Drosophila melanogaster: one gene and its partners. The protein of the gene in region 2 purifies or fractionates together with the protein of the main gene of each other region. This does not show direct contact. Each region holds a gene or a part of one and is shown on either strand. Other genes may lie near its edges. The genes, in order: Rab35, Sbf, Vamp7 and Pi3K68D.

Evidence for each region.
Region 1: the proteins of Sbf (region 2) and Rab35 purify together in Drosophila melanogaster (affinity purification with western blotting; 2 studies listed by BioGRID, with this or other methods). This does not show direct contact.
Region 3: the proteins of Sbf (region 2) and Vamp7 purify together in Drosophila melanogaster (affinity purification with western blotting, with the first as the bait; one study listed by BioGRID). This does not show direct contact.
Region 4: the proteins of Sbf (region 2) and Pi3K68D purify together in Drosophila melanogaster (affinity purification with western blotting; one study listed by BioGRID). This does not show direct contact.

What each region holds. Positions count from the first base shown.
Region 1 is NC_004354.4:20,154,984-20,161,572, reverse strand, and holds Rab35 (Rab35), read left to right. Parts: upstream 1-1,700; 5' UTR 1,701-2,625; coding exon 2,626-2,677; intron 2,678-3,044; exon of another isoform or gene 3,045-3,215; coding exon of another isoform or gene 3,216-3,234; intron 3,235-3,303; coding exon 3,304-3,603; intron 3,604-3,736; coding exon 3,737-3,990; 3' UTR 3,991-5,807; downstream 5,808-6,589. Other genes in the region: Phf7 (PHD finger protein 7), read left to right, coding at 1-655; aspr (asperous), read right to left, coding at 6,265-6,474.
Region 2 is NT_033777.3:11,793,829-11,799,022, forward strand, and holds the start of Sbf (SET domain binding factor), read right to left. Parts: upstream 3,121-5,194; 5' UTR 3,016-3,120; intron 2,667-3,015; 5' UTR 2,608-2,666; coding exon 2,553-2,607; intron 2,482-2,552; coding exon 2,378-2,481; intron 2,309-2,377; coding exon 1,988-2,308; intron 1,929-1,987; coding exon 1-1,928. Other genes in the region: ClC-a (chloride channel-a), read right to left, coding at 3,614-3,919, 3,978-4,211, 4,290-4,319, 4,446-4,715, 4,901-4,936, 5,025-5,069, 5,163-5,194.
Region 3 is NT_033778.4:9,840,168-9,844,020, forward strand, and holds Vamp7 (Vesicle-associated membrane protein 7), read right to left. Parts: upstream 2,336-3,853; 5' UTR 2,134-2,335; intron 2,059-2,133; exon of another isoform or gene 2,001-2,058; 5' UTR 1,884-2,000; coding exon 1,680-1,883; intron 1,602-1,679; coding exon 1,373-1,601; intron 1,309-1,372; coding exon 1,241-1,308; intron 1,183-1,240; coding exon 1,027-1,182; 3' UTR 913-1,026; downstream 1-912. Other genes in the region: Marc (mitochondrial amidoxime reducing component), read left to right, coding at 1-348, 417-703, 777-882; sting, read left to right, coding at 3,637-3,736, 3,793-3,853.
Region 4 is NT_037436.4:11,786,883-11,792,056, forward strand, and holds the start of Pi3K68D (phosphatidylinositol 3-kinase 68D), read right to left. Parts: upstream 3,132-5,174; 5' UTR 3,040-3,131; exon of another isoform or gene 2,739-3,039; 5' UTR 2,659-2,738; intron 1,364-2,658; 5' UTR 1,331-1,363; coding exon 297-1,330; intron 229-296; coding exon 176-228; intron 1-175. Other genes in the region: twy (twitchy), read right to left, coding at 3,396-4,851, 4,917-5,174.

The DNA of each region.
Region 1 (6,589 bases), on a different chromosome or scaffold from region 2:
TGGTGATCAGATTCAAGAGAAGCTATCACCCTCCCATTGGGATGATTTCGGCTCCTCCGACGATGATGCCGTCTTTCAGCGTGCGTTCGATACCAAAGTGCAGAGTCGCGTGGTGACCCTCTCCGATGATCAACCATCTACTTCTGCGGGGGCACGCGCTTTAGCCGATCGTGGAACTCGCACATTTGAATCACAGGGAACGCAAACAACATTTCTCTCAAGTGTAGTAACCTCGTTTCGCTCTGCTACTGCAACTGCGACATCATCCACATCCACATCCACATCCACATCCGCATCGACACTTGATAACCAAGAAAACACTGAGCCGTCCACATCGAATGGACGTCGTCCCTGGCGCCCTAGATACGTCTCGCCGCCTAGACACGTGTCGGATAGCGATGACGATAGTGATGAATATGATAGTGATGAATATGAGTCGAAGAGGCGCCAACTTACGCCCACTGCCGCTGCGCCGTCGAATGGCAGGCGTCTGTTGGGCTCCATCTCGCCGGAGCCGAGCACTCCTGCTCCACGTGTCTTACGTCGCCGCACTTTGGCCAACAGGCCTTCCTCACTCGCCAACATGGATATATCCTGTGTGGCCAATAGGACCCGCCACCGCTTGTCCAACCACATGGCCAGCCGCAAGGATTAGGAGAACAGATGACATTACAATAGATCACACTCGCACAAATCCATGTACACGGCAAGATCAATATGGATATATCCTGAGTGGGCAGGATACCCGCAGGGACTAGGAGAACAGATGACAACATCACGATACATAACACTTGCACATTCCATTAACCATCACATCGACTAGGTTGTGGACCAAATGCGTGCGTTTGGTTCGCACCCGTTATTCTCTATTTTCCGCCTTTTGTACATATAAAATTCCATTAAAATCCTGTTCTCCTAGCGGTATTCGCTAATAAGATGCATTTACCATTTATTTGCTTTGTTAAGTAAGCTAAGTAAGTGCTCCTTTCCACACGTATAAATAACTTGTATACATATTTACTTTAAGTAGCTGTAGACATTATTTTCCCCATCTGACTTTCTTTTCAGCAGCTCGCAGTGCCTACATTATTTCAATTACTCTAAGCATTACATTTTTTTGACTAGCGATCTAAGAATCCCTGAATCCAGTATCTGTATCAAGAATCCCAGTATCTGAACGCTAAAATGAAATAAATAAAATTAAAATATTTGAAAAATAAGTTAGAATGATTTTATTTGGATGTTGAAAAAACTTCTCAAAAGTTGTAAACTACGAATACTCACTTTCATTAAGAGTATAGCGTTTTGCTTCTAGTTAATACCCGCTACAAATCGGTATGAAAGTATATAATATTTAGTTTTTTTTTTGGTATTAATATAATATGGGCTTTATAAGTGATTATTTGAAGATTTTTTAAAAATCGCGCCATTCATAATAAATAAGTGCTGGATATGGCCAAAAGTTTATGCACAGGTGGCAACGTTAGCAACCCGCTAAACGGCAACACTTGCGATAATGTTCTCTAAATATATCGATACATATTGATATTAAAAAAAATTGCCAGTATTAATTTATTAAACTAATTTAATTTTTTGAGTGGGCACATTGCATATTTAGTTACAGAAAAATTCGACTTTATGCTCCGGCTAAATGAATCGATGTTTGTGGGGTACTATCTATCCTAAACTATCGATAGCATAAACATCGCATTTGGTTCCGTCTCTAGTGTGGGTGCGTTAGCAATAGTTTATCCAGAATATGAATTAACCAGAATTAATCCGCAACGCCGACGCCCACAAATTCCCACAAATCGTCGTCCTTTCAGCGCTGCAAGAGCAACCCGGAAGCTGGAAAGTTCGAGACCGCCGAGAAGCCCAATATAAATTCAACAGTCAGCCAGAGCTTCACTCCTGTGTGTGTGTGCGTGCGTGCGTATGTGTTCGTGTGTTGTGTCTGTGCTACAGTGTTGGAGAGAGCGAGACGCACGATTGCGAGGGAGTCGAGCTTTGCGAAAATTTGCCAGCCTATATTGAAATATTTTCGGCACCAAATCGCCGTCTTATCCGCCAGCAAGCCATTGGATCTGATGGAAATGAGCCTGCCGCTCGATTTCTCTTCGCAAATCCGCTGTTAAAGCAAAAGCAACAATTGTACCAGTGGAGCCAAAAAAAGAGAAACACACCTACCTAATCAAAGGAAATTAAATAACAAGGCGGCGGCAACAACACTTACATAAATTAACTCGCAACGCAACAACACTAATAACTATAGCTTATCACACAGCAACAAAAACATCAGCAACAGCAGCAAAAACAACAACAACAACAGACCAGCAGCCAGAAAGAACAACAGCTTATCTCAGATATTCAGCCGGCTGCACCAGTGCGAGCGAGAGGGTCGTAGCTTGGGGCGAAAGAGAGGGCGCTTCCGAGAGAGTGCGAAAGAGAGAGAGAGAGAGAGTAAGCGCAGGGAGTGTGCTCCTGTGTGTGTGAGTGTGGGAGCAGGCAGCAGAAAAAAAGAAAACAAAAGTATATTTTGCATTGTTCGACGCGCCTAACTGTAAATATAAAAGCACTTGCAAAAACAAGGAAAAACACAGAAAAACAGCGAAAAAACGTCGAAAAATGGCACGCGGCTTCGATCATCTATTCAAGTTGCTAATAATCGGCGATAGCGGTGAGTTTCCCAGGCATTCCCGTTTCCCACAGACCAGGTGCTTAAAAATAGCATCGAGTTGAAAATAGCAGGTGTAAATTGCAATTTGTCCCCGTTTCCTGGCCAAAAACGCAGTTGTCTCCACCTCCCTTTCGCATTACTGCATCTGATTACCATTAATGTATGTTACATTTAAAATGCTAACGCCAACATGGCGTATGAGTAATGTTGTTTTCAGTTTCCATAATACTTTCAACATTCGTCAGCTTCTTGTTTCTATACTCAATGTTTTTGGCATACTCAACATGTGTTAGGTTGTACTAATTTTATATATTTAATCATAAATGCAAAAGCACTTTATATCAGTCCTGTCCTCCTCCTAACGTAGCTATCTACATATTCATTTGGGCGTATTTCGAGAAAGGTGGTCTGGCTCGGGCAAAACCAGGCTCATGACTAATGGTGACGCACTGGCAGGATATACAGCTTGATATGCGAGCAGACCAGCTGCGGCGGTAACCGGAGCAGGAGAACACTCCCCGCTCCACAGCAATGTCATATGCCGAATGGGCTTACTTGTGTGTAGTAACGATATCACATTTTTGTAATACGAATCCCATTCCATCTTTCCATCTGATCCCCTGCAGGCGTGGGCAAGTCGTCGCTGCTCATCCGGTTCTCGGACGACACATTCTCAGGCAGTTACATCACCACCATCGGCGTGGACTTTAAGATCCGCACCGTGGACATCGAGGGCATGCGCGTAAAGCTGCAGATCTGGGACACGGCCGGGCAGGAGCGCTTCCGGACAATCACCAGCACCTACTACCGCGGCACCCACGGCGTCATTGTCGTCTACGACGTCACGAACGGCGAATCCTTTGCGAACGTCCGCCGCTGGCTGGAGGAGATCCAGAATAACTGCGATGTGGTTAAAAAAGTATTAGGTGAGCCTATATCGTATTACGCACAGAATTGGTTGACCCGTACTGAGAAGTAGTTGTTGGCTATGCCAAGCGGAGCTTAATTAGTAGACAACTTACATTATCGATATAGACTCATGTTTCGATTCCTCAACAGTGGGCAACAAGAACGACGATCCGGACAGGAAGGTGGTCATTACCGAAGACGCGCAGCGGTTTGCGAAACAAATGGACATCGAGCTATTCGAGACATCTGCCAAAGACAACATAAACGTGGAGAACATGTTCTTGTCGATTACGCGACAGGTGCTCGATCACAAGCTGCGCACCTCCCCCAACGAGCAGCAGAAGGACACGCTCCATCTGAAGCCCAATCCCAAGGGCAGCAAGGGTGGGAAGTGCTGCAGGTGAAAGCGGCTCCGGCACGGGAGCTGGCATTGCAACTGGACCGACGGCGACGGCGGCGGCGGCGGCGGCGGCGGGACGGGAATTGGAACTGAAATTAGGACCAGGACCTGGATCAACTTCGGGGGCGGACGGAATCGTTGTGGGGGCGCGTAGTTTGTAGGGTTCTTGGCTTACGATTCGACACAGACACTCACTCACATAGACATAGCTAACACCACCAAACAACCAACAACAAGAAACCACACAAAGCAAACAACACGAGACAACTGAACAACACTCACACCCACTAGAGACAACAATTTTTTTTGTTTTGTTTTTTTTTTTCCTCCTCAGTTTTATTCGGAATAATGCCAGATAGCCGTAAATTAAAGTGTAAAAGTGTAAAGCGCAATTAAATGTATTTAGCAATTTATATACATATTAATATATACATACATAAACAAAATTGAAACAAATTGCATATTTATATACAAGAATATATTTATATTTCAAACGGAAAATTGTATTTACAATAACAAGAGCGACCGCAGGAAAAGGCACGAGGACGCAAACGCCTCGCTCGCTAGCTAAGCTACGAAACACATTTATAGAAATATATAAATATATATACATAGATATACATATGTGGGGAGATCAAATTATTGGCTTCCGATCGCGACTCTCCACTTTTAATACTCCCATAGTTTAAAATTTAAAAACGAAAGCTCTGATCTGCCGACTATCAATCGCGAAAGACACGTTTTGAATGAATCTGAAATTTTATTTGCTTGGAGTGATGCTTTTAAACATTTCGTTGCTCTCGGAAACTGCCTTACTTGTTAAGATTTCATTTGATATTATTGCCGCCATTCCGTGATTGATTTAACTGGATAAACTAAAGAACTTCAGGGACTGTTTCCAATTCTTTTGGATGTGCTTGCTTAAAATGAAAAACCTGAAACTGTCAGCCAATATGATTTCCAATGCAAATTTTCTGAAGAGAAATAGTTGTAGGTAATGTTTGTATCTATTCGAAAACCGGGGAACCAATACTCCAATTCTCTGATATTATATACATACATTACATATGTACCCTCAGAAAGAATAAAGATTGATCTTTGGAAAAACACGATTACTTGCGCTCGGACTGTAATTCAAAACCATGTTTTTAATCCATAGCTATGTTGAATATGTCCAAAATGTAGCCACTTTTCATTTAAGTCCTTAGGCATTGCTGATTTAAAATTAAATAAGATATGATTGGCAATCAACATTTTGTGGCATTCTTTTATGCCACAAATGCATTTAATACATCGCTACATTTGTATTGTATCTAAGTTAAAAACGCACCAAATCGCACTGCAAGCACGTTCGTTATTTTTGGTAAACTTTCCCGATTTTACAATTTTTGTTAGCTTCTAAAAGTAGTTGCATACTCTTCGGCGACTCTATGAAACGAGTGAATAACGTAGTAACGAAGCGCACTAGAATTTATATTTATATGTTCACAATGTACATATGGGTTCGCTTTGTGGTAACCATATTTATTCTGCTTAAAAAACCATTCGATTCATAGATTTATTTTAAATACCACAATAATCGATTTCGGTTCCAGTATATATTTATTTATATGTAAACCTTGAGCTATACCCAAAATTCAAAGACTATGTTATTGCGTTTGAATACCAAAATGAATTACCTAGTTGTGGTTTGGGCTGAAAAAAGCTTTCAGAAAGTGAGGCAAACTCATAGTTAAATACTATTCTCGAATATGAAACCTATATTTCATACCAACCAAAAGAAAACTATATATTTATATAAATGTATATATATATCTATATATATAGATGTATATATTTATCGATCAAAATAAAGAAGGCAATTTGATTTTCTAAAATGTTTGGTCTTTTGCATTTAGCCGTTAAGATTTTGGGTTGGATTTCGGTACTAAGACAATCAGTAATATAATCTTTATATCTTTAAAATGGAATTTTTTCCCTTCTGCAGTATTTGAAAACAATTTGTTTAACTTTTTTATGATGTATTCAGTTGTTTGTGACTTTACGGATCCCAGAAAAATAGCACATTGTTTATGATTATTATTTACTTGTATTATTTATTGTTTTTCAACGCATTTTTTATCGCTTCTGTTGGGGAGAGCACGAGGTTAGGGCAACGACTAGTACGGGAAGTGGGCAGATGCGGATTGGTGCGGATTGGGATGGGGATTGGCTGGGCGGATGGTGACTGGTTTGGCAGGCAGTGCGGCTCCGGGACTATACGACTCCCCATCCCGCCTCAGTGGTACTTGGCCACGGGAAAGGTGCGCGTCTGGCGACAGGACACCAGGGCGTCGCCCGACTGTCCCTGTGGACAGCGGCAGACAGCCAGGTGGGCCTTGGGCTCGCAGCTGGCTCCAGTGGCACACTTGCCGATGCAGGGATCGATGCACTGGTAGTTGATGCAGGCGCGATGGTCGGGGCACTCGTTGTTGCTCAGGCACTCACCCTGTGGACGAGGGTAAGTGGGTTAGTACAGTAGTTATGCCCCATTATAATGGAGAATGAAGAAGAAGAAGAACTCTATTTAAAATCGAAATACAGACAAAATTTCGACATATTTG
Region 2 (5,194 bases):
AAGTGAATTGCCTGGCTGTACAAAGTTGACTCCTCCGATTTGGCCAGCTCGGCTTTTTTCTCCTCCTCGATGTTGGGACTTTTGCGCAGCTGCTCGGCTGTAATTTCAAGCGCCGTGGGCTCCTCTAGAGGAACTTCGTCCAGCACACAGTTGGCCTCCTTTTGATGCTCGTTCTGACGTCGGTGAAGCAGATACAACGCCTTTATTTGACCTTGGACATCCTGAAAGAAAGTAGACTCCCAAAATTGCAGGTTTTTCCAGATGGCGTGATCCTGTATCTCTGTGTACGCAAATTGCACTACTCCAGTCGAGAGCTTACGGCAGAAGATTGTGGACATGGGCAGCAGAGCCGCAGCCACTGTGTACTCATCAATGCCGGATGATTTTTGCAGCGCCTTGTTCATGAATCGCACAACTAATTCAAACTGTTGATGGTCCAGAACTGCCTTGTTGCCGTGCACATATCCAAAGAACTCGCGGCACAAGATCAAGCGCGCATCCCGATGCATTAGGGTGCGCATCACAGCCGGCAGCAGTTTTCTGGCATCTGTAATTCGATTCTCAAAGATGTATGACACACAGATCCGCAGCACCTCCAGTCGCCTAGCCGAGTTTTGGACATTGGGACGCACATCTAATGCCTCGGGTAACCTGGGTCCCATCGGAATGATACGGTGCTGATTACGTGTTACATGAAAGCGTTGTGGCACTCCGTTCTTTCGTATCCCTTCCTGTATGATAAGCTCAACCTTTTCCGAACTTATGCGCGGAAAGGCTGGTTGATGAATACGCTGGAATGCGCCTTCCGGCGGACGCAGTACTTTTTGGGCATAGCTGATGTGAGCCAGAGTGCCCTCATTTTCATATAGAACTCGTCCCAATTCCTGGATATGTGTGAGTATCTGAAAGTAGGAAGGAAAGGTAAAATTAAAATATCCCTTGAATCTTTGAGTTCTACCTACGAGATTTCGATTCTGCGCCTCCGATTTGAGCAGTTCGTTCATTGAGCTGTAGAGCTCATCCCAGGCATCGGAGGATCGCCAGGGAGGGCCTCGTTCGTTGACAAACGTCGTGAAAAACATGCTGTCCAGCACCCTAAACAGGAATTCGCTCTCTATCAGATCGCGGGCGCCGAGAAATCCTGCCTTATGGAAGGTGATCACCGGCTTTGGGTGGATCCGAATGATAGTCAGGCAGGAGCGATATCCCTGCAGCAGCTGAGCGAAAAGGCGCATGAATATGGCGCGAAGTTCCTTATCAATCTGGGCGTCAGTCTTAGCAATAGCTGAAGGCCGCTCTAATGTGGGAAACGCCAGATCGGCCTGCGCCAGGTTTGGAAACAGGATCATGCTGAGCAGGTCCTGGGTCTGTTCCCACAGCGGTGATGGAAGAATAGGAACAGGCGGCGTCAGCGACTCGGGAATGGTAACGAGGCCGCCATCCAAATCCACCACAATAACATCCAGTAAATCCGTAATCTCAGTTTGCAGTGAGCTATGTATGCCCATAATAAATGGCGTAGGTGTGGATAACACTTCCGTGAGTGGAGCCGGCAGAATTGGTATATAAACATGAGTATACCGAAAGGGATACATCAATGCCACCAAAGCTCTGCAGCTGTCCGTCAGGTGCCAATAACACTTAGAAAGAAACAGTATCTTGTTCTCTGTCATCACGGAGCAAAGCAGTATCAGCACATTCTTGATGCCCAGCTGCTTGAAGAGGAAGTGGACTCCACTTCCAGTCGTGGGCAGGGAGGAGCTCTGCGGAGGCTGGAGCGACTGCTTGTCTCCTGCTCCTATAGAGAAGCGCACCTGCGGTCCACCCGCTGGAGGAACTTGGATGCAGCCCAGAATGTTTCCTATGAGTGTCTCCAATCCATACGCCAGGTTCTCAATGTACACCGTGTATATGGTGCCGAGACAATTCTGTAAATTAAGATAATGGCTTAATTTAGTATCTTAGGTGGTCTGACTTTTAAACTCACTTTAAAGGTCTCGGCACAGTCCAAACGCGATATAAGCACCAGACACTTTGGTGCATACATGACGCTGTGGTGCGTAATGGAAGCCGGCGTGGATGTCGTTGTGATGCCATCCATCGATGAGGGTGTGGCTCCCAGCAGCCTGCTGCTGCCGATGGTCTCATCCTCGTCGTCGACGCTGCGCGTCTGTGTGATGGCCACCGTCTCATGAAAGCTGAGGCAGGCGCAGTAGTGCTTGTTGGCATCGATGTCCGTCAGCACAGAGACGAAGAACTTGGGCTCCTGCTTCTCGTACGATAAACTCCAGCCGAGCGGCTGGCAGAACTGTCGGAATGATAAGTTAAAATTCAGATATGCTTCGAATTAAGTGAGGAATGTTTCAAGCGCACCCACCCATTCAATGCCCTCGATAAACGGAGTGTCCGGCCAATCTTTCTCGGGAAAGCGCTGAACGATCTTGCCGCACGTCGGCTGGCCGCCCACATTGCTGGCAGTTTCTGGGAAAAGGGAAATTGTTGAATGTCAGAGAATTGCTAATTATGGCTGATGGGCATGTGGATGTACTCACTCTCCTTATCACTGTCGTAGCCGACTATTACGAAGTAATCAGCGAGCCGGGACATCTTGCCCACCACATAGCCGGCCAGTCGTCTAGGATCCTACGGCTCTTTACTAGCCAAATCTAGGAGAACAAAGAGTTGAAGATGTTTTATTTTGATTTTTTTTTTGTTTTTGTTCTGTTGCGTTCTTGTAGCAGGGGACAGCGGCAGATGGATTCTATTCGCCAGTGCCGTCATCCAATTTGATATGCTAATTAGGCTCCGTCTCTGCGCTCGGCATAAATGATTAGCTCCACGGAGATCGAGGGGCCGAATTGTTATTGTATTGTCTATAGCGCCCGGAGGCGTTTTTCAGGCTTTACGAGTCTTGGTCTTCACTCTTTTTTCTTTAACCACACCCCGCCACGCAAAGTGGGATCGTTCGCCGGGAATCGGACTGGCCAATCTATATATATATATCCGCGCACACACCTCGCAGCCGGCTGCAGCCGAAATCCCCGCTAACTGCCAGCAAATCTCAAAGAATTCGGGGCTATAATAATTATTTTTAAGTTCGCATAGAAAAAGATAGATGCAATACACAATAATTTTCACGAATTATCCAACACTTTCTGCATCAGCTGATTGAATGTGTCGATATTTGATTGGCGCTTTGAATGTATCGATAGTTTCGGACTGCGCTACAAATTAATCGGCGCGAACTTAAAAGATCAATTGGAAAATGGCAAAATTAATTTCCACTTAGCCTTAAATATTCATTAAACAATTTTGGGGAAATTATAATATAATTAATCTGTTGGAAAAATAGGAAACTTGTATACTACATTAATACTCCCCAGTATATAAATAAAAATCAAACGCAGCCTTCGTTGGTGACTTGATTTTCTTTTCAACTTAAATATAAATCACGATATTTTTCACATTATGAACTAACGAGATATAAATACATAATAACATTGATGACTAACTCGTGTAAGACGTAACTTAAGATAGATGTGTTTAGCTGATCTTTACAAACATATTACGTATACGTATCGTATTAACTATTATGATGGCCGATCATCTTGTTTCAAGCATGATTTCCGTTTTCTGTGTTACTTTTGTCCGCCGATGGACTTTGCTTAGATTCCTGTGGCGGCATGGTGAGCGATACAGTGCCCTTATCCGTGTGCTTTATGTGCTCCATTTCAATGTCCGAACAGTTCTCGGAATTGGATAGTGCCGAGTCCATGGAGGTGACGGTCATGTCCACGGCCTTATCACTAGAGTTCGTCGACAGCAGAGGTTTCTCCACCGCCGGCTTCTCATCCGCATCCTCATCCCGTGTGGGGGGCACGAAACTATTGCTATTAATGTCCTCGATGGCTTTTCGCAACTGTTTAATAAAACATGTGTTATTGTTATAATCATCAAGGATATCAAACAAGACTTACTTCTTTGAGTCCCACGACACCAACAAGTCTTCCGATTTTGGTGACATAGGCGTGGTTAATACCCACCATGGAAAACAACGAGTGAACCTTGAGTATGGAGGTGCGTTCCACCAGCTGAAATGGCGAGGGATCGATGTGGACATTGGCCTTCTGCAAATCGATGGGCTTCAACATTTCCTCGAGCTCCCATTGCTTCTGATCCTCCGGTGACATGTCAATAACACGTTCCCTGGGCTGTAAATCAATCAAATCGGTAGATATTATATCTTGATTGAAATAAGGGGTTATGTAATTAAAATATTCTAAACGTACCAATCGCACCGACTTCGGCTTTTGAATGCTCTTATTTGGGATTTACAAGATAGGAGAGAAAATGTGTATGTTAACTTTGAGAGTTAATGATTCATAATGCGTTGTAAGCTCGTTGACAATAGATATTAATCAAAAGTTTGCATCAGTTTTACATACCTCAGCCAGCGATTCTGGATTTGTTGTTTCATCCACATCCTCTATAGAGTAACCCAATACATTTTCTGGTTTTATTTTACATTTCGTTCGAGTGGGCGAACCATTTACTCCAACTTCGTTAGCAAACCTTATTTTCGAGCACCTCTTGGCCGTCTGAGGAGATCTATTTACATCTGCCACTTTATTTGCTTTGAATTTAATGCTCGGTGATTGCTTTGAACTATCTCCATTATTTGATAATGCTTTATCCGTGAAATCTTTCTCGGCAGGCTTTTTAAACATTAATCTTGAGATTACAAAATTATGTATAGATAGATATTTTAAACTGGCAATACTCTACTTCAATCTTCCACTGAAATTATTAAGTATTTCTTCTACTTCAAAAAGGCCCATAGTACTACTTCATGCGTGGATACTACCCTTATTTTATAATTTTACTTCGTTTTAAGGCTTACCATTTTATTTGATTCCGTTGAAATAGGGTTTACTTGCTTGCAGATATTAAAGTAAGTTAAACACACATATTCCGAGAAAATGAATGAAATGATATGATATGAATGTTGTTAGTGAGTAACTTACCAGCATAATTTGATCTGTTACAAAATCCCAATTACTTTGTGCAGGCTTGAAAAGAGAGATTTCCTCTTCCGGTTTACTCAGCAACTTAGATAACCCAAAACCCAATTTTTATGCGGTAAATAGAAAATATGCACCTACCAGCTGAACCTTTTTGGAAACACCGGGAGTGC
Region 3 (3,853 bases), on a different chromosome or scaffold from region 2:
GTGGTCAATGAAAAGAACGAAATGATCACGGCTCGGGTGTATCCGCTTATGACCCAGATCAAGTCGAAGAAGGTGTCGCCCAGCAAGCTTGTGTTCAGCGCCCAGGACATGCCAGACCTGGAGCTGGACTTCGAGAAGCTGGACGGTCCTGGCAAGGATGTGAAAACTTCCGTTTGGGGCGTTTCCATAGACGTGATGCCCTGCGGAGATCGGATCAACACGTGGTTCTCCCAGGCCATCCTGAAGAAGGAGAGCGGCCTCAAGCTAGTTCACTATCCCTATCCGAAACCAGTGAGATGCACCAATCCCCGCCTAAAGTCCATGCCATTCATTAGACAGGAGGACTCGGTATGTTCCTGATGCGCAATTCGAAGTGTTAGGACCCAGATCACCCTTGATTTGAATTCTTTCCATAGGGCACTTTTAACGATGCCACCAGCTTTATGCTGATGAACCTTTCGTCGGTCGCCGATCTTAATACTCGGTTAAAGAATCCGGTGGATGCACTGCAGTTCCGAGGTAACTTCGAACTGAAAATGGATGTTGATGAGCCCTATGCCGAGGACAATTGGCAGTGGGTGCGTATAGGCGAAGATGCTGTTTTCCGTACGGTGGCGCCATGCACTCGCTGTATTTTTACCAACATTAATGCGAAGACCGCAGAGAGGAGTTCCGAAGGAGAGCCTCTCAAAACGCTCAGAAGGTGAGTCACTACCCATGGAAATATCTGAGAAGTACGACTTACAAAACCCGACCCTCATATCTGGAATCCACAGCTATCGCTTGTTCAACTACAGTTCGCCGGCTCTGGGCGTTCATATGGGACTTCGGCTGCCGGGAAAGGTGAAGGCCAACGACGTCGTGTATGTGGAGGACAAGTGAATATTCCATTATCTCTTCTAACACTTTATCCGGTATACATTGAAGTTTATTACATAGAACATAGATGAGAGTACTGTAGAGTTTTATATGCAAATATACATGTGTTATGAGCCTATAACAATATAAACAACTTTAAAGCTTGTCCTAAACACAGGACTGCCAAGCGAGGCCACCACAGGCCATGCTCACAATCACGTAAACGATGAAGGTTATCACCAGACCCACCACCACGTAGACGCGGATGTTCTTCCAAAACATTTGACGAGCCAAATTTCGGGAGGCCTTACGGAATGCAACGGACTGTAAGAGAGATCAAATGAAAAACACATTTAAAAGTCTCTGCTTGGCATCACCTTACATTATTGCTCAAGTTTTCGGTCTTGTTGACGAGCAGCTCTAGTTTCTCGCCGCGATCCCGCAAGCTGTCTGCAAATGGGATGAAAAGGGAATAGTAAACAAAAAGAACATACGGATTTTCCTTCCTTCATACCAATATTCTTAACCATAATGTCTTTAAGCTCGTCAATCTGACCATGTACTCGCGAAATGGTGTCCACCTCCCGGGACTGACTGAAATAGACCATCTGCTGGGCCAGGATCTTGGAGAACTCGGTGTTCATGGAGTAGGCGATGGCGGTGGCCACCTGTAGGCCGTAAGTCTGGATAAACTTCTGCTTGATATCCGCCAAGAAGAGGAAGGCCCGCGACCGTTCGAACTCCTACAAAGAAACGATACGTTATCGATTGGGCAATAAGCAACTGAGGTGGCTAATTGGGCCAGTGGTTCGTTCACCCACGTTGTCGGTGATGCACATGTAGACCAGTTTGTTCTCGCAGGTGTAGTGGATCAGGTAGTCTCCGTGTGTGTAGGTCATCTTGTGGTTATGCACCCCGATCCGTCCGATTATGTGCTCCGTCACTTCGGCAAAGTTGCCGACGCACTCCGCAAACTTCGCCAGCACTGTGGTGCCCCGCGATATCACACTATATAGTATCGGCATGGTGCCACAGATTCTCCTTTGCTAAGGGCGCGGTTGTTCAGCTCCTCAGGCTACTGCTTTGTTTTGCTTATCGGGGAATGAGCCGACGATCCGTCAATGATGACGTGCTCTCGGATTCTGAGAAATGTACATATCGATTTAGAAACTACTACTATCCAATTGCGAGCCTATCAATCTGAACAATAACTCTGTTTATGAGTAACATACGTATATATGTGTAATATGCAAATTGTTATATCAAAGTACTTGCTTTGTTTATCCAATTAGATCCGCCTCGAGTTGATAGCGCAACTGCAGATTTACATTTTGTGGTAAGCGGCTTAAGTTATTATCGATTTTCAATTGCTTTTGCCGAACACAATAAAAACATCACAATACCGTGGAATTAGCTCGATTTTTGCATTACAAATAACAACAATTGCTGACGCTTCGATGCAGTTATAAAATTAGAGGTGGAAGGACGGTACATCGACGCATCGATATTTAATGGAGCCGATAAGTCTGGCTTTATCGCACGGTCACACTGCATAACGTGTTTTACAAATTATGTTATACGGTCTTATGATTATTTGCATTTGCTTATTAAATTAAATGATCTCCGCAACTTAAATAGGGGCATCCCACCGATAGCGTTTCAGTATTGACGAGAGCATCAGTTCATCCAGTTGAGATTCTTCTCCCCGGACAAAGAATTTTCCATTAAAGTAAATTTAAATTAATAGCGTTCCCAAGCTTTTGCTCCTGAGATCTTTGAGCCTGGATCCATTCGTTTTGACAGAAAAAACCGCAGGTAATAACTTAAACTATGTACACACGCAAGATACAATATACGTAGTTTCAATATGCGCATATGCTGCCGAAATATTCGATTTAAAATTACTTATTTTAAAAGACTTAGAATTCTCATTTATTCTGGCCACAAATATGGCACGATTGCACTTTTTTGAGCCTTTTACAGGATAAGGTTTCTATAGAATTTAATATTAGAACACAATAAGCATGCTTAAATAAGATCATTTATCAAATCTTATAATTCGTTTAGGGTGTAGCTATCAGTATTTAAGTTGCAGAGTAAGAGCGTAATGGTTAACCATTGTTGATGGTTAATTAACCACCAATTGGTTAACCATTGTTAATGTTTAATTATCTTTGTTATTTTTTATTATTTTGATCTTGATTAAGAATATATATACTTTACATGGCCGGGAACGCTTCCTTCTACCTGTTACTTACTTTTCAACGAATCTAGTATACCCTCTTACCAAAGACACTAGAATAACAATATGCGTTTTTGGGAGGAGTCTAGAGCTGGCTCCGGCTCTCACGAATATTTGTTCCAGAGGGCGGAGAGCTTTACAGTCAGCAGATTTCATGTCTGTATATGTATCTGATAGTCGGAACCGGACATTGTTACCTAAAGTTTTATTTCGAATACAAATTGATTAACGAATCTTTGAGGCTATATTGATAAAATCTTATCTGATACCTGATAAACAAACACAAAAGTAAATAATAATAAAAAGATATAACAATGTAGTTCCTTCATTGCTTCCGTCATACATAAATATGTGCATTTGTATGTGCACGCAATGTAATTAATATTTAGGAGCCCAAATTCAGTTATGTATACCTATGCAAGCCCAATAAACAAATTTATATATAATTTAACGGCATTTGAAATTCCAGCGAAGTTTTCGCGAGATCTCCAAATCGATCTGGCAACCCTTGAGACGTACATATGTATGCAGACGAAATGGCAATCGCTAGCAACGTTGTCGAAGCGGGGAACGCGGTTCGCGCGGAAAAAGGCAGAAAATATTTTTATTTTCGAAAGATGATAGGAGATTATATTGGTGAGTGATGACCGATGGACGCCATAAATTATCTTTACGGTCGTGATTCGTTGCAGACACCTCTATTCGCATTGTAGCCACCGTGTTCTTGGCTGATCTGCTCCTTCGCTTGTACCG
Region 4 (5,174 bases), on a different chromosome or scaffold from region 2:
CTAATGTTATTATGCCAATAATTTTTATTTGCAGCTCAAATGAATGCTCTGGCCAAAAATCGCAACACACGAGTTTTCGACTGTATTTCAAGTTTAGTTTACGGTGCGAAAAATGTGGGGGGATTTCAACGAGGACCGGGAGCTACACGTTAATTACAACATTGAGGCTGCTTACCAGTATTGTCGTTTAGCAGGGGATCGAATGCCTCCAGCACACTCACACGGGAGCTGCAAAGCAGGATGTTTGAATGTTAAAAACACGAACTAATCATTTCTGAACACTAGTGGATACATACTAGTCCTCGTGGTTGAGGTCGATCAAATCGTTGCCCCTGCGTGGGACCGAGGAATGACCATTGTTTCCAGTGTGGCTACTAGAGCTAACCCCGACAGTCGAGGGCACTTGGCGACGCGCTGGGAAGGCTACTCCATTGGCCTCTGCGGGGGAGGAAGTGGAATGGTTGGACGGTTGGCTGTGATGATGACTTGTTGTCGGTGCTGTTTGTTGGGGAGCTGGTTGCGATTGGGGTCGACGCAAATCCATGTGCGTGTAAGCACCTCCAAAGCCATATCCCTGTGCGGGATACTGCGGCGGCATAAAAGCAGCCGATCCGGGAACAATGGGAGCCGTGTATGGAGTAACCACAGCTCCGGGATAGTACATATAGGCGTTTGGCTGCGGCACTGGAACCACGGCCATTTGAGCGGGCATGCTGTACAGCCGCTGCAGCTCCTCGCTGTTTAGTGGCCTCTGTTGCTGAGCAGCTGGTTGGTAAGGCACCAACTGCAGGTCACCGTAAGCCGGTCCACCAACAACTCCACCTGCAACCATGCCGTACGGTGTGGGCTGAGCAGCCGTTGGACGTTGCTGATGAGGTGGAAAGCCGTATTGAGGAGGAATCGAAGCCGACGCAACTGGACCCATTGGCACCAGGGCCGACTGCGGATTGGTCGGCTGCATCCGCTGCAGATCCTCTATAAGTTTGCCAAAGGGACTGCTACTCTCTGGCTGCTTGCTGGTGGGACTTGCGAAGCAGATCAGATCGTTATCCGTTCCCTGGGCCGGCGGTGTGCGCGATCGTTCCGCATTCTCCGGACTGATGGCCACCTGATGCACCTCCGAGTGCCGTCGTGGTTGATGTAGGCTCTGACTACGTTGCGCCGCCTGGTAATCTCGGCCAGCAACGGTGGAGCTTTGCTGATACCCGGAGCCGTACTTCTTGTTTCGCCTGTAGTCATCGAGGGCATGCTGCTCTAGACTCAGGGCGGTCGCCTTGGCCAGGTCATCCTGGAATTGTTTGTCGTAGTCGATATGCGCTTGATTTGACATTATCCCCTCGTCTAAAGCGTCCGGTCCGTTGAGCTGCGAATGGGAACCAGAACAAAATGTGAGCGATTTCCAAATTTTGTTAAAATTATTTTCGTATTTTCTCTTCCAATGCCTATTTGTTGTTGAACAAAGGTGTTTGCTTTTGGGATTGCTTATCTCTGCGATAACGAACAGGCGGTGATAAAAGTGATTATGCAGTGTAAATGGCAATGGTACTATATGAGTACCTGGACGAAGAACAGGTGAGATAGCATTCGATGGGGGGAAGACCACTTGCGACAGAGTGGGGGTGCCTATCACTAGTTTTTTTTTTTTAAGTTGCAAAGGAATATTCGCGATCGATAATGAGCCGTCATTAGCGGGCACCAATGATTCAGAAATTCAGAAAATAGGGGAGAACAGATTGATCGCTTTATTAGATTTGTAAGCTTCGAAATGGTTAAAAGGATATGACAACTGCATTTAAAACGTAATTACAAGGATTTGTGATAGCCAGGGCAGGGACAGGAATTAATTTTATATTTTAAAAAATATCAACTTCTAATAGAAAAGTTCGAACATCATTATGCAAGCATGATATTAAGTATGATTAGCAGAGTTTCGACATTCGGTACAAACATCAGCAAAACATTTTATCTTATTGTTTGTACATACAAATGTGGTAAATACTTGTGTACTTTGCACATAGAAACCATATCCAAGCGCTCCAAATTTGCGATTGCGATACAGCAGAGTGGCGCAAAAAGGCGCAATTGAGTGCGCGATTGTAAATAAATATATAAAAACAAACAAAAGCGGCGGCATCAATTTGCGTGAATGAATGCTGCGAGTACTGATTTCCCAGATTTTACACATATATACGAATATATGCAATATAAACGTATATATATATGTCAGCATGTAAGCGTTTTGATTTTTTCCCCATTGAAGCCAATCTCGTATGCAGATAGGAAACAGCTGTTTAATATAAACACACCCACAAAAGCACTAGTGTGTGTGTGAGTCCGTGTCGCGAACGGGGACGGAATGGAAGATAAGAAAATGCGAACCGGCTAGGAATAGGAAGCGAGGAAGAGAGAGCAAAAGAGAGGGTTCCGTGCGGCAAAGGTTAAGGTAAATCAATAGATTGCGAAAAAATTTTTAAAAACAATATTCATAAACAATAAATGAACCCAATTGAATGCCAATTTATTCCGGAGAACGTAAGAATAAAATTTAAAAAAAACGAATATCGGTGGAAGGGCGAAAGAAAATAATAATGGAGATAGTCATTAATATGCAGACTTGACTTCTGCTTTGTGATTCTCATCCGCATATTGCCAACTTACTTGCTTTTTGAGGTGTCACCTCCGCTGCTTTTTACACCCGTTGCTAGTCTCTTTTTGGTTGAGGTTTTCCCTTGACGGGGCTACGAACATAGACCATCCGGTTAATAGTTTTACACTTTTATCCTCGGTTGTTGTTATATTTGACGAATCACAATTAATTTAAACTTAACCAAAGGTTTTTTTTTTGTTTTTAGGAGAGTTGTTTTATCCTCCTACACACCTAAACACCTACACACATACATGCGAAACGACCATACACAAACACGAACAGAAAACAGTGACAAAAAACGGAATAGACGCAACACCAAAATACTGAACAAAACGTTATTTTCTTAGATTTTCTTGCACCATCACATATTATGTACAAATCAGTTAATTTACAATAAAAAAAAAACAATTATCTTGTGCGCAAGAACTTTAAACACGAACAGCACGAAATAACACAAAACGGAATGCAACAAGCAGTAGCGATGGTAAACGAATCGATATTGTTTGGCAACTATCGATGAAAGATACATCGAACAGATGTTTGAGTATTGGCTAATCATGTAGCCGGGTTTCACTCCATCAATTCAAATTTATTGAGTTTCTAACGAATAACAAAATACTTAACTTTCGAGCGATATGTAATCTTGTATCTTCATAGTTTGTTTATAAAACTTATACTAATTGCCAAGTAATACATTTATTTATCTCAGTTGTTATTATTTGTGCTTCCACAAATTTTTCCACAATATCTACATAAATGCTTCGTCCACATTCAGGCCGTGATCCATGGCCACCTTGGAGTCGTCGTCCAGCCCACCAGCTAACGTCAATAGATAGTCGGGATCATCGATTGAACTACTGGGGGGCGCATTGTACATCCTGCGGTAGGAGGCTTCGATGTTTTCGTCCAGCATTCGATCCACAATGTCACTCTGGACCTGTCCCGGTTCCTGGGACATTTTAAGCAGCAGCTCCGCATGACTGGGTGTCACTTGAGGCAGTTGAAGATCGGTGGCTGCTGTGGGATTTACATTTGCCCTTCGCTGGGCGATTTCCGCCGATTCCGCACCCATTTTGCAGATTGCACACCTGCTGCGAGAAATCTGCTTCTTCAGATTGACCAAAGCCATACGATCCTGCGCCACCAGCATTCGTTCGTGGGCCAGCTGTGCCTCCTTTTCCGCGATTTCCTGGGCCCGCTTGGCCATGACCTTAAGCTTGGCCTGGAGCAGCTGGTCCGCCTCCCTAGCCTTCTGCTCGGCCAAGTGTTGGCGACTAGTGGCTAGGCGGTAGGCGCCGGTGGCTTGGCCCAGTTCGTCCTCCTTGAGATTTAGGGCGTGCTCCTTATCCAGAAGATGGCGCTTGCGCTGCTCCATTTCGCGCTGCAGCTTGTGGTAGCGATCCCGCTCCTCATCCGCCCGCCGAATGGCTTCGCGTGCCACCTGCAGTTGGGCCTCCAGTTCCCGGCGATCTCTGTCTGGGTCGCCGTGCTCATTGAGCTGTTGTCTTAGTTCAATCTGCTGGCGTTCCACTGTCAGTTGATTGCGCTCCTCCTGGAGATCGTGGTGCAGTCGTTCCATTTCCGCAAGCTGCAGTGCTTTAAGATCCTCCACACGCTTCTCGTCCCGCTGCATTTGCTCGCGATGGAATTCTTTTTCGCGCTCGAAAGCCTTGCGCTCCGCTTCCAAGCTGGACATTCGTTGACGGAGCTGCCAGTTCTCTTCGGCTGACTCCTTGGACAAACGGCCCAGCTGCAGCTCCAAGGTGCTCACCAGTTCCATCAGGCGGCGCTTCTCATCGTCGGCCGTCTCCTCGTCCATCTTTAGACGCCTTTCCTGGTCGGCCAGGCGACGTTCTCGCGCCTCCAACTGCCGTTCCCTTTCCTGGTTGTCACTCATCCCGTCACGAAGTTCTTGAAGATTGCTGGACGCCAGACGCAATGTGTCCAGATAATTTCCATGATCCTGCACCGCCGACAACTCCACCATTTTAGCCTGACGAATACCCTCGAGGTCCAGCTCGTGGGATTGACGCAGCTTGCGCACCTCATCCTCATGATCTTGTCGCAGGCTGGAAATCTGCTCCACATAGTCCTCCTTCTGCTTCTCCAGTTTTTCGATGTAGTACTGCCGTAACTCGCTATTCTCGTCCTTGAGTCGTTTCTCTACGACGGACAAGTGCTCCTCCAGCACCTTGATTTGTTTTCTGGACATAAAATTAAATTCTCTTACTCATTTGCATTATTATTTCAGCAGCTGGTTAAAACTTACTTATATGAAGAATCTATCATTTCGATCTCCTGCTCATAGTTGACCTTCATGTTGGCCACCAGCTCATCGAGTCGCTGTTTCTCCAGCAGATTGCGTTTGGCATCCATTTCTAGCAGAAGCAAATGCTCCTGTTCCTGACTGGTCGCCTTGTGGTGCTCCTTCCTTTCCGGTTCCGGTTCCGGTTTCTCCACGAGCGGCGGTGTGGACACCACATCCTGTACACGCACTGGCTGCGACATCATCAGCTGGAGGTGCATG